Linked DNA regions of Canis lupus familiaris. The protein of the gene in region 1 purifies or fractionates together with the protein of each later gene. This does not show direct contact. Links are inferred from orthologs where the notes say so. Each region holds a gene or a part of one and is shown on either strand. Other genes may lie near its edges. The genes, in order: ARRDC1, ZMYM2 and NEDD4.

Region 1 (3,214 bases):
GTGCATCTGACCAGAACACGTACCAGGCCCTCCCCCCCCCCCCCCCCCGCCTGGTCCTGTAGCTGAGCCACGGGACACACATAGACCCACATGGGACACACAGACACACACAGGTCACACAGACACACGGGACACACATGCTGGTGCCATGGGCCTGCTCTCCTGCAGGAGCACATCTCCCTTGCGTGGGGTAGGAGGGACAGTCCTGCTGTGTGTGTCCCTCCCCCTGCCTCCACAGTCCCCCTGTGGAGGAGAGTGGACAGAATGGCCATTTGACTCCAAGACAGTGATTGGAAGCTGCTCACTCAGGTCACCACAGGGCCTTCAGTGTGTGCAGAGAGGCCCCCTGCCTGGGCCTTGGGAACGTCTTAGGACTTGGGCCCCTCTGGGATACCCTGAGGGGAGGCTGATACCATTTGTGTTTCTGAGATCAGATGACCCCGTGTCATGTGCACCTGAATTCTGGGGGCCGTTTTGGGCTGGATGGGTGACAGTCTTAGCCTCCCTGCCATTAGACATGTGGGCTGTGCCTGGATAATTTGTTGTTACAGACAGGTTGCTCACAGCTCCTGGGTAGACAGGGTGGGTTCTGAGAACTGTGGGTACTCTGGTGTGTGTGTGCATGTGTGCGCGTGTTTGAGTGTGTAAGGTCCCAGCAGATCCTCCTGTTGCTTTGCCAGGGCCCTGGTAGCAGCTCGTGGTGTGATTGCTGTGAAGATTGTGTTTTTCTTTCTTTTTTTTTTTTAAAGATTTTATTTATTCATGAGAGACACAGAGAGAGAGAGAGAGGCAGAGACACACAGGCAGAGAGAAGCAGGCTCCATGCAGGGAGCCCGATGTGGGACTCGATCCCAGGACTCCAGGATCACACCCTGAGCCAAAGGCAGACGCTCAGCCACTGAGCCACCCAGGCGTCCCAAGATTCTGTTTTTCTATCTCCTCTCCAACATTAGTCAGAATATTTAATATTTGGCAATCGGATAGGGTAAAATGATAACTCGTCTGAGTTTCTCTGGTGTCTTCCGAGGTGGGGTGTCTGTTTCTGTCGTTTGCTGCTGTGCCACTCCTATGACAAACCACCCCTAGACTAAGTGGCTTAAAGCAACCGTTTCATCATGGCTCCTGGCGTCGTGGATTGGGAATTTGGACAGAGATGGGCAGGTTGAGGCTTCGGCTCTCTACATCATCCACTGAAGTCACCTGACGGTTTTCAGCTGGCACTGGGCCGATCAGTCTGGGGAGTGCCAAATTCCTTTGGGTCCCAGAATTCGCAGGGCAGCCAGCTCCAAGGTGGAGTGCACCCTCCCGCCTCTGTGGGGAGTGTAGACTGCTGTGGCATCTGGATTGCCATGCGTCCCCTCTCTTATCCAGCCCACCCCACTGTGTTCCTCTGGGGCTGCGGGAGCCTGTGGGAGCACCACAGGTGTCTCAGATCTGTGGGGTGGGAGCAGATCGGGTCTGGCCTTGGGAGGGGACAGCTGATGGGGTGTGGGTTAGAAATCTGGGCTGGGGTCTAGTCATGGGCGCGGTGCCGGGGGGCGTGCAGGACAAGTCGGCTCCCTGGGGGAGAGCCTGGTGGTCCGTGAGTGGCCAGCAGGAGGCTTGCTTGGGCGGGGTGAGGCTGGCCTGGGGAGACTGCACATGGTCTGGTGAGGCTGGCCCTGGCCCTGGGCACTTGGGATCCTGGGTTCCTCCCACTAAGTGGCTCTGTCAGAAGGTGTTAGATTCCAAGTGCCCTTCTTCTCAGCTGACCATCATGTCAGGGGATGGCAGGGAGAGGCTGGGCAGGCAGGCTGGTGTCTTTGGCCTTGTCTTAAGCCTGCAGTTATTGGCGGGGTGGAGCTGCCGGGCCATCCGGGGCTACTCAGCACTGAGCCTCGGCTGCCCCAGCTGTGCTGTCTCCCCTGGTTGTCCAGCCAGGGCCTCTGGCCACAGTGCTCTCTGGGCTTGTGTCCCCTGGAGTGGGGAGTTTGAGTTCCTGACCACAGAAAGGTGGTGGCGACCTCCACTGCAAACAGGCCTAATCTAGGCATTTCCACCCGCGAGTAGGGCAGAGGACATCGGCCCTTGTGGGCAGGACTGGTCCGGAAGTCCAGGGTGTGCCAGACTGTTGGGTACTCATCAGCTCGGGCAGGTCTGACCACATTCCTGCATCCTGAAGGGCTAACAGTTAGCTTCCTGGAGCGTGAAGAGGCACCTCCCAGCCTGGTTGACTTGCCAGTGAGGCCACATGTAGTGAGGTTGGCTGTTCATAGGCTTTTGTCGTCATTGGTGCCCCAAGCATCTCTTGTAGGGAGCTGAGTTTCCACAGGTCTGCTGGGCCCAGGGTGGCTGGAAACCAAGGTTACCAGGTGGGGGATTGTGTGGGACATTTGGGTGACTGCTGGGACCCTCCTGTTCTGGACTTCAGGACAGATCTGCCTCTGTGCCTTATCACCCTGGCTCCCTGGGACTACCCCCAAATGTGGGATGGACAGAGGTATCCTCTGCAGGGCACAGGCCACTTGTGGGCCCATCAGAGGCCCAGCTCGCCCCTTGGCGAGCTCTACCTGAATCTTTGTGATGGGGGCAGGAAGGGGCCCAGGCCTGTGGCTGCCTGGACTCATGCCATCCCCCTGCCTTGCAGCCATCCGGGTGACCTGCATGGGTTCCTGCAGGGTGTCCAACAAGGCCAACGATGCCGCGTGGGTGGTGGAGGAGGCTTACTTCAACAGTGCTCTGTCGCTGGCTGACAAGGGTGAGTCCAGGAGCCTTGCACTTGCCTTGCTGCATTGAGTGAGCCCCTGGCACCCCAGGGCAGACATTGGTTGAGAGTGGGGCCTGTCTGTCCACCACAGCTCCCCATTTGCTTCTGGGATCTCTGTGCTGACCCACCCTCTGGAAAGGCTTTGTACCAGATGTGTTTCTCTGCCTGAAGGCATGGGGCATTGCCTGATAGGGTCTGGGGGGTTGAGGGGGCCACATCTCCTGGGTGTGGGTGGGCTCCGGCCCCTGGCAGAGCCCTGTCCCCCTTTCCTCTCCAAGCCAAGCTCTTGTAACCCGTCCTCGGCCCAGGTTGCGGCCCTGTGCTGTTGTGGCACCAGGAGGCAGAGGCTGGGAGTGTGAGATGGCCCACTGCCTCTGTCCGCTGTCCGGTGGCGTCACCTCAAGGCTCCTGAGCCCCCCCCCTCCCCCCGTCTTGTCTCTGCAGGGAGCCTGCCAGCTGGAGAACACA
Region 2 (3,652 bases), on another chromosome or scaffold:
CAAAAGAAGAAATAGGAGCTACTTTTCTCTGAATGTATGTTTTTATGTACACTTCACTTTTGAACCACATGTATATATTCAAAAACAAACTAAATCAAAAGACCTTAACATTGAAATATAAGTAAGATAATCATTCCTAAGCTAAACTTTAAAATTGTACTTGGAACTCTTCTCCTTTACCCATAAACAATATTTCAAAAGAGGAATCATTCTGCCAGCATTTACCATTATATGTAAAATCACAATGTCTGAAAATCTACATACATCAGTATTCATTTGGGTTAGGTCAACTCTAAGAGTTGAAGAAAATAATGGAATTAAATGAGATTCCAGAATAAACCTAGTTAATAAATACTGCTAAAGTAAAACTATTACGGCAACTTAAAAATATTCAAAAGAATGGCCAATTCTGATTAGATCATGAATTACCTGTTTGTATTCACTGACACAACTTTGACAGCAAAATCTTTTCTGCTGACCATCGATCACCAGGACATTGTTTCCAGCACCTTTGCTCGGCAGGTACTCTCCACACTGCTCACAGCAATTCATTATTAAACCATTAGCCATTCTGTATCTATTAAAGCAGTGGTCACTGCACAGCTTATGAGTCATATTTTTAAAGCTAACTTCATGGCGAATCTAAAAACAAGCAAACAAAATTTTAAAGACCAATGAGTATCACACGTAGCTAAATAACAAGGTGCTCCAACAGAAAGAAAACAACTCAATGATTTTTCTGTGGAAGGCTTATTTAGGCAAAGAGAAAGAAAATAGCTTTCATTTTCTTTGAACTATTTTTATACACACAAGAAATACATGTATGGCAGAGGGGGAACCACTAGTGAATTATTACAAACTTCTCTAGAGTTATCTAAAAATGATAGGAAACAACTCAGGTTGGATATTGTTAATATAAAATTCTAAAACAGATTGAAAAATCTTTAGACCAATCCAAAAGGAACTAAAATTAAGTACATTGCTCTAGAAAGGGAGGAGAGAACCAATATTATAAAAAATTCAAATGATATGTAGAGTACACAGGTTTTTCTTCAAACAAATACAGAAATGTTAATACATCAGTAATGTGAAGTTATCAAAAAATAGTCTCTCCACTTATTCTCCTTCTTAAGCATTCTAGTCTGTTGTCTTTTGGTAATCAGCCTATGTGTTTAAACACTATGGTTTTGGCTCTCTCTACATGTTCCAAACCTCAAGAAAAAGTCAACTAATATTAAATTTTAGTATTTCCTAAATCATGCTCCCCATGTGAGAATGGGATTACATAATGGGATATTATTATAAGATAAATTTTATATATCATCTGTTTTAAGGAAATACATACTGATCAGTTTATCCTAACTATTAAATAATGTTAAGAATATTTCCATTATTTAGAACTAAAGAGAGAAGGCACAAAAATACAAACCTCTGTTAGTTTACCACAAATTGTACATCTTGATTTATTTAGAGCTCCTTTAGTAGGATTCTGTTTGTCCTCATAGAGAGACAAACAAGATGTACTACAGAATTCCTGGAAGGATTCACTTGAATCCACTTGAGCAACAATGGTTCCTTTCATTGTAGTTATATCTCTGAAAAATAAGCAAGACAACTTAAAGCAAAATTCTATTTTTAAAAAAATCAAATATAAGAGTAATAACTAACATTTCTAATTTCTATAAATTGAACCATGTGAATCAAATACCATTTAGATCCATGAAATCACTTTTACTATTTAAAACCTCTTGGCAATAAAATTTTAATACAAAAGATTAAAAAACAAAAGTATTTTATACTATTAAATCTTTGCCAGTACTCAATTTATCTTCAAACTCCTTAACAAGGCTTCAAGATATTGGAAACACTTTTTTAAAAAGTTATTACTTACAAGGAGTTTAATGTCCAGGTCTAATCCCCTGAGGTATGAATTTGTAATACCTAGTCAATTCCTTTCCCATGCATAAGTAGAAAGTCTGAAAGATCTAGGTCACAGAGATGACAGATATTCTAGAGAAGATAACTGAACTTAAGTACACCTCCATATCCATAACCCAAAACAACCCTACCTACCATTCTACACAGCTCTCCAAATGCAATTAGCAATCAAAAAAACAATACTGATGACATGTGACAATTCCCTTTAATAAAATTCTGAATTTTGAGGTCCTATGTTACAGTATGCAAAAGGCTACTACTATAAAGCAATCTAAAAACTGTATGATTGTTCCAATATTTGAATTCAATTTATACAGAACACTAAGGCTTTTTCAAAGTTCTAAGATCTAAAAAATATCGTCACAAACATAGGCTGCTCCAAAATATGGTAGGCTCCAGGCTCAGCACGGATCTAAGTGCAGGGCTTGAACTCACAACCCTGAGACCAAGACCAAAGCTGAAACTGAGTTGGATGTTTAACGGACTAAGCTACCCAGATGCTCCAATATTCCATTTATTTTTAACTAGTGGAAGCCAGACCTAAAAATTGGCAGAAGAGAGAACTGTCTCTCTCCAAGGCTATCAAAAAACTGGTACCTGAGTCTTAAAACCGTGAGCAGGAGCACCTAGATGGCTCAGTTGGTTAAGCATCTGCCTTAGACTCAGGTCATGACCCCAGGATCCTGGGATAGAGCCAGAATCTGCTCCCTGTTCAGCAGAGGGACAGCTTCTCCCTCTCTCTCTGCCACTCCCCCTGCTTGTACTTGCTTGCTCCCTCTGTCAAATAAATAAATAAAATCTTTAAAAATAAATAAATAAAATCTAAAGACATGCCAATTTAAAATGATCTTAAAATGAAGATAGTGCAAAATCTGACCTATTTTTATATAGTACTAGTTATAATAAACTGCAAAACAATATTATCTTGCCAAAATTAAATTCTAATAATTAGTAATGTGAATAAGCTGTATGCATTTTGACAAATGTCAAGGAGTCCAATGGAGATTACAGACAAAATTACAAGGGCCTTAAATCAACCTCAGAGCACCTGGCTGGCTCAGTCATTTGGGTATCTGACTCTTGACTTTGGCTAGGGTCATGGTCTCATGGCATGAGCCTCAAATCCAGCTCCACACTCAGCATGAAGTCTGCTTAGGATGCTCTCTCTCTCCCTCTCCCTCTGCACAACCCCCTCTACCCCGCATGCTCACGTGCTGTCTTTCTCTCTCTCAAATAAATCAATAAATCTTTTATAAATAAAGAAATAAACAAACCCCAAAGTCTGCCCAATAGGAAGTCTTTTACCATAAGCCACCTGGTGTGGTAGAAAAGCCTCCAAAGCCATTACACATTTGAGTTTGGCTTTAAGATTTAAACAACTAGCTTACTAATTTTTCAAACACCATAATTCACCTCTTAGACTCATGATTTCCCTAAAATTATATACCACCAATATTCAATCATATGGAATGATGTTGAAAGGTAAACCTTACCTACATTTGTGATGAGCAAAGCATAACCTACAGACTTGTTGGACCACTCTGTTGTACACCTGAAACTAATGTAATACCATGTGTCAACTATACTTCAATTAAAAAAAAAGAAAAGAAAAGAAAACCTTACTTTTTACACATAACACAAAGTTTCTTTGGAGCAGGCTTGTGAGAGAAGGAGGAAAGGCAGGTGGTAGAACAAAAGAGGTGAGCTGATCCTT
Region 3 (3,652 bases), on another chromosome or scaffold:
GAGATGTACCAGTGACAAACTGAAGTAATCTTATTCTTTTTTCTGAATCCATCATTAGAACAGCCTGAATAAGAGAAAAACAGCATTTAGGTACATCCCTAGGAAAAAAAGTAACAGAACTATCTTAAAAAATATGTTATCAGAATTTAATTATGGTATTAATGATCCATTATTAAATTTACATATATCTGTTAGTTACATTTGTGTTTCTGGGTGGCTTACAGAATTCCTAAAAACACAGAGTAACTCTGTGGGATGAGATCACAGCCTAATAAAGTGACAAAAATATCTTTTTGGATGTGACTCGTGGCTTTTTAAAAATGATATTTACTGATATTATTGAGTAACACACACAATTCTCAATTAGATGGAAAATAACATTTAAAGCAGCCATGCAGGAGGCCCAGAGAATGCACTGCAGGTGATTACAAGTTCTCTTGGACAGTTCTACTGCTGGTAAGGAACCAAGAGCCCACCACGGCTGTTCCCATGACTTCCTACATTCTGAACACTGACTTATCTATAAATATGCATGGAGGTTGCAGCCATATCCGGAAGGTAGATGTATACAGTACATTACATTGTGTCTTATCTCTATGTGATCCATTAGTATAGTTAATATGACTGAATCTATTGAAAAGTAATTTACAGAAACAGAAGCTTTCAATTACCTTCCAGAACCACTGTATGACTTGATGATTCACACTGTAGCCATTCTTATATTTTGTGTGTTCTCTCCAGTCATTCACATCGACATCTCCCAATCCACACATAAGAAGCTACGTGATAAGAAATGTCAAACTACAGACAAGATAAATAATGGACACAAAAATCCTGTTTGAAAATAAGAGTATTTCTTACCTCTAGTTCATTTTCATCGAAAATTTTGATGAGATCCTGTGGTATTAGTTCAAAAAATCCCTAGGAGAAGGAATGTATTTTAAAAATTGGTTAGCAGATTCCATTGACAGCCCTCTACTTTAGCTCCTGGGTTGTTCTGGAGAAATCCCACATGCACATAGGTTCCTACCACCACCTAGTCTTGGGTTCTTAAGTTAACTGAGATTCCAGTATTGGCAAGAAAATGTACATGTCCATAATCTCTTCTTTCTCACTGATTCCTCACAATGGCTATTTTGAAACCTCTCCACACTTCCCAAGGCACTTCCTCCTCCTCCATGTTACCCCTTCCTGACAGCAGATAACTTTTATTTGAGAGACAAAACAGAGGCGATTATGGAATTCCCTCAACCTTCTGCACGCATCTCCATGTACCAACTGCCACTGACATCATTGTGGTCTCCCTTCCCACTGTCAGAGACAGGTGCTATCTCCTCTCTGTGCCTCATCTGCTTCCCCGAAGGGCTCCTCTCACTAAATCTCCTTCTCTTTATTAGCTCACTACATGCATTTATACTTGTTTAAGCTTATCTACCTTAAAAATAACAAAAAAGGGGTTCTTGGCTGGCTCAGTGGTTGAGCATCTGCCTTCGGCCCAGGTTGTGATTCTGGGGTCCTGGGATCAAGTCCCATATCAGGCTCTCCACAGGGAGTCTGCTTCTCCCTCTGCCTATGTCTCTGCCTCTCTCTCTCTCTCTCTCATGAATAAATAATTTAAAAACAAAACAAAACAAAAAAGCAAAACCATCTTTCTTCTCTTTACTGCCAAGTTATTATACCTTACTGAAGCCACCTGCCCACCTGCAGCTCTGCCTCCACCCGCTGCCATCTGCCCTCTGTGCCCCTGCTTCCCTCAGGCTGTCCTGGAAAAAGTCAGAGACAGCTCTGTGGCTAATTCTGATAAACACTTCCTAGTTCTGTATCTTTTTTTACTTCTTTGCACTAGGATATTGTTGAAAACACCTTCGTTGTTGAAACTTTGTCTGCTGTGGATGATTTCTCTTTCATCTCTGTCTGCATTTGCTAATTTCCCTTGAAGTCTCCTTTTCTACCCACTGGTTCCTTCCATATTGCTGTTCCCACATCTCTATGGTGGCCATCCACTTTCATTGTTCGTACCATTCTTCCAATTTCCCATCTCACCTAGTCCACAGCTCCAGGACACAAAGGCAGATGATCCCCAAATTCATGCTGCCCTCCCCAGACCTCTATCCTTTAAAGCATCCTGAACTACAGCTCTCCCTCATGAATCCCACTCAGATACACACACAGCTGTCTTCCCACCACTACCACCTTAGTTCCTGCCCTTACCTTTGCTCACCTGGATCACTGGAGTACCTTCTCCCCCCACCCCTGCTGCTAGCCTTGTCCAACTCTAACTCACTACACGCCACTTCCAGAATGATCTGACTAAAATATAAATTGAATCCTGGTGTTTTATCATAGAACAGCCTTTGATACCACCTTCCTTCCCCTCACTGGATTTTCACAAAAGAGTCAAATCCCACCTTTGTTTCCAGGTTAGCAAACAGGCCCTTCATAACCCAGTTCTGGTCAGCTCTCCAGCTCAGTTTTACCTCCTGCATCATCTTATGAACTGCTGGCATTTTCTCCAACATGCACACAGTCTTATGGACAGACTTCACACAGACCACTCATTCTGCTTGGAATTGCATGTAGCGGGCCAAACGCCCTAGGCCTTCCCTGTCCCTCCCTGCACCTCTCCTGCCCTGGTTTCCACCTCTCCACTGTGCTTACCAAGCACAGGCTTGCCTCTGTCCACCTCTTCAGATTCTCTGCCCCCTATAACAGGACCTATGTCTTTATGCCTTGTGCAGTACCAGATACAGAGTGAGTGCTGAATACCGGATAAATAAAAAAGTACGTGATAAATATCTAACAGAAGGTTTTAAGTTGGTTTAAGACACAAGAGTGCACTGGCAACAGCCTAAATGTTCACTAACTGGGGAAGTTTAAAACCTTATGGATTTATGAGTAAACTGCAGCCACAAGGAAAAATAGTTGCGCATCTTGACACATAAAGATTTCCAATAAATATTTGATAAGACAAGAAAGCAAGTCACAAACTAACATGTATAGTGTGATCCCATGTGGGAAAATAAATGGCCTATTCCACTCTCCCTATAGCACCCTTGATCCTTGTTCATCTAATGTAACTTAAGATGGAGGAGGAAGAGGAGACATGACTGGGAAAAGATGAGGATCCATGACCAGTGTGAAGGAGGATTGTCAATGTCAACTGAATGGGCTTCTTGAATGAGTTTTAACAGTGAACACCTATTCATTTAAAATTTTTTACTATAAAAATTAAAAGTTGTTTTTAAAAAGCAAGTCATCCATTAATTATCACATGTGATGACTCCAATACTTGAAACTCAAGAATTATACTTTGAAATTACAGAAGAACAAACAAAAGTAAATGAATACCTCTTTAAAAGCAGCCATTTGCTTCTGGATTCGGTTTACAAATCGCCACTGTATTACAAGACTAAAAAGAAACAAAATATTTCATCTTTTTCATATGAATGAAGAAAAACATTTAAGGTATATTTACTCCAGTTGGAAACAAAAAATAAAGACTAGGTAAGCCCAAAAATAAATATGAATGGGTAATACAGCATTTTTACAGAAAGAGAATAAAGAACATTGAGACGCTGGCTATGAAGGAAGAAGGTACAGAGTCTTCCCAGAAAGAACTACAAAATTATTTCCAGTAAAGTATATACTAAAC

Evidence for each region.
Region 2: the proteins of ARRDC1 (region 1) and ZMYM2 purify together in Homo sapiens (affinity purification with mass spectrometry; 3 studies listed by BioGRID and IntAct, counting the BioPlex papers as one, with this or other methods). This does not show direct contact. The link is inferred for Canis lupus familiaris from reciprocal best matches to the Homo sapiens genes ARRDC1 and ZMYM2.
Region 3: the proteins of ARRDC1 (region 1) and NEDD4 purify together in Homo sapiens (affinity purification with mass spectrometry; 3 studies listed by BioGRID and IntAct, counting the BioPlex papers as one, with this or other methods). This does not show direct contact. The link is inferred for Canis lupus familiaris from reciprocal best matches to the Homo sapiens genes ARRDC1 and NEDD4.

What each region holds. Positions count from the first base shown.
Region 1 is NC_049230.1:48,164,501-48,167,714, reverse strand, and holds part of ARRDC1 (arrestin domain-containing protein 1), read left to right. Parts: intron 1-2,626; coding exon 2,627-2,737; intron 2,738-3,190; coding exon 3,191-3,214. UniProt on the Homo sapiens protein: Functions as an adapter recruiting ubiquitin-protein ligases to their specific substrates. Through an ubiquitination-dependent mechanism plays for instance a role in the incorporation of SLC11A2 into extracellular vesicles.
Region 2 is NC_049246.1:18,189,737-18,193,388, forward strand, and holds part of ZMYM2 (zinc finger MYM-type protein 2), read right to left. Parts: coding exon 3,562-3,652; intron 1,596-3,561; coding exon 1,430-1,595; intron 643-1,429; coding exon 430-642; intron 1-429. UniProt on the Homo sapiens protein: Involved in the negative regulation of transcription.
Region 3 is NC_049251.1:21,439,858-21,443,509, forward strand, and holds part of NEDD4 (E3 ubiquitin-protein ligase NEDD4), read right to left. Parts: intron 3,410-3,652; coding exon 3,349-3,409; intron 922-3,348; coding exon 862-921; intron 780-861; coding exon 672-779; intron 65-671; coding exon 1-64. UniProt on the Homo sapiens protein: E3 ubiquitin-protein ligase which accepts ubiquitin from an E2 ubiquitin-conjugating enzyme in the form of a thioester and then directly transfers the ubiquitin to targeted substrates. Specifically ubiquitinates 'Lys-63' in target proteins.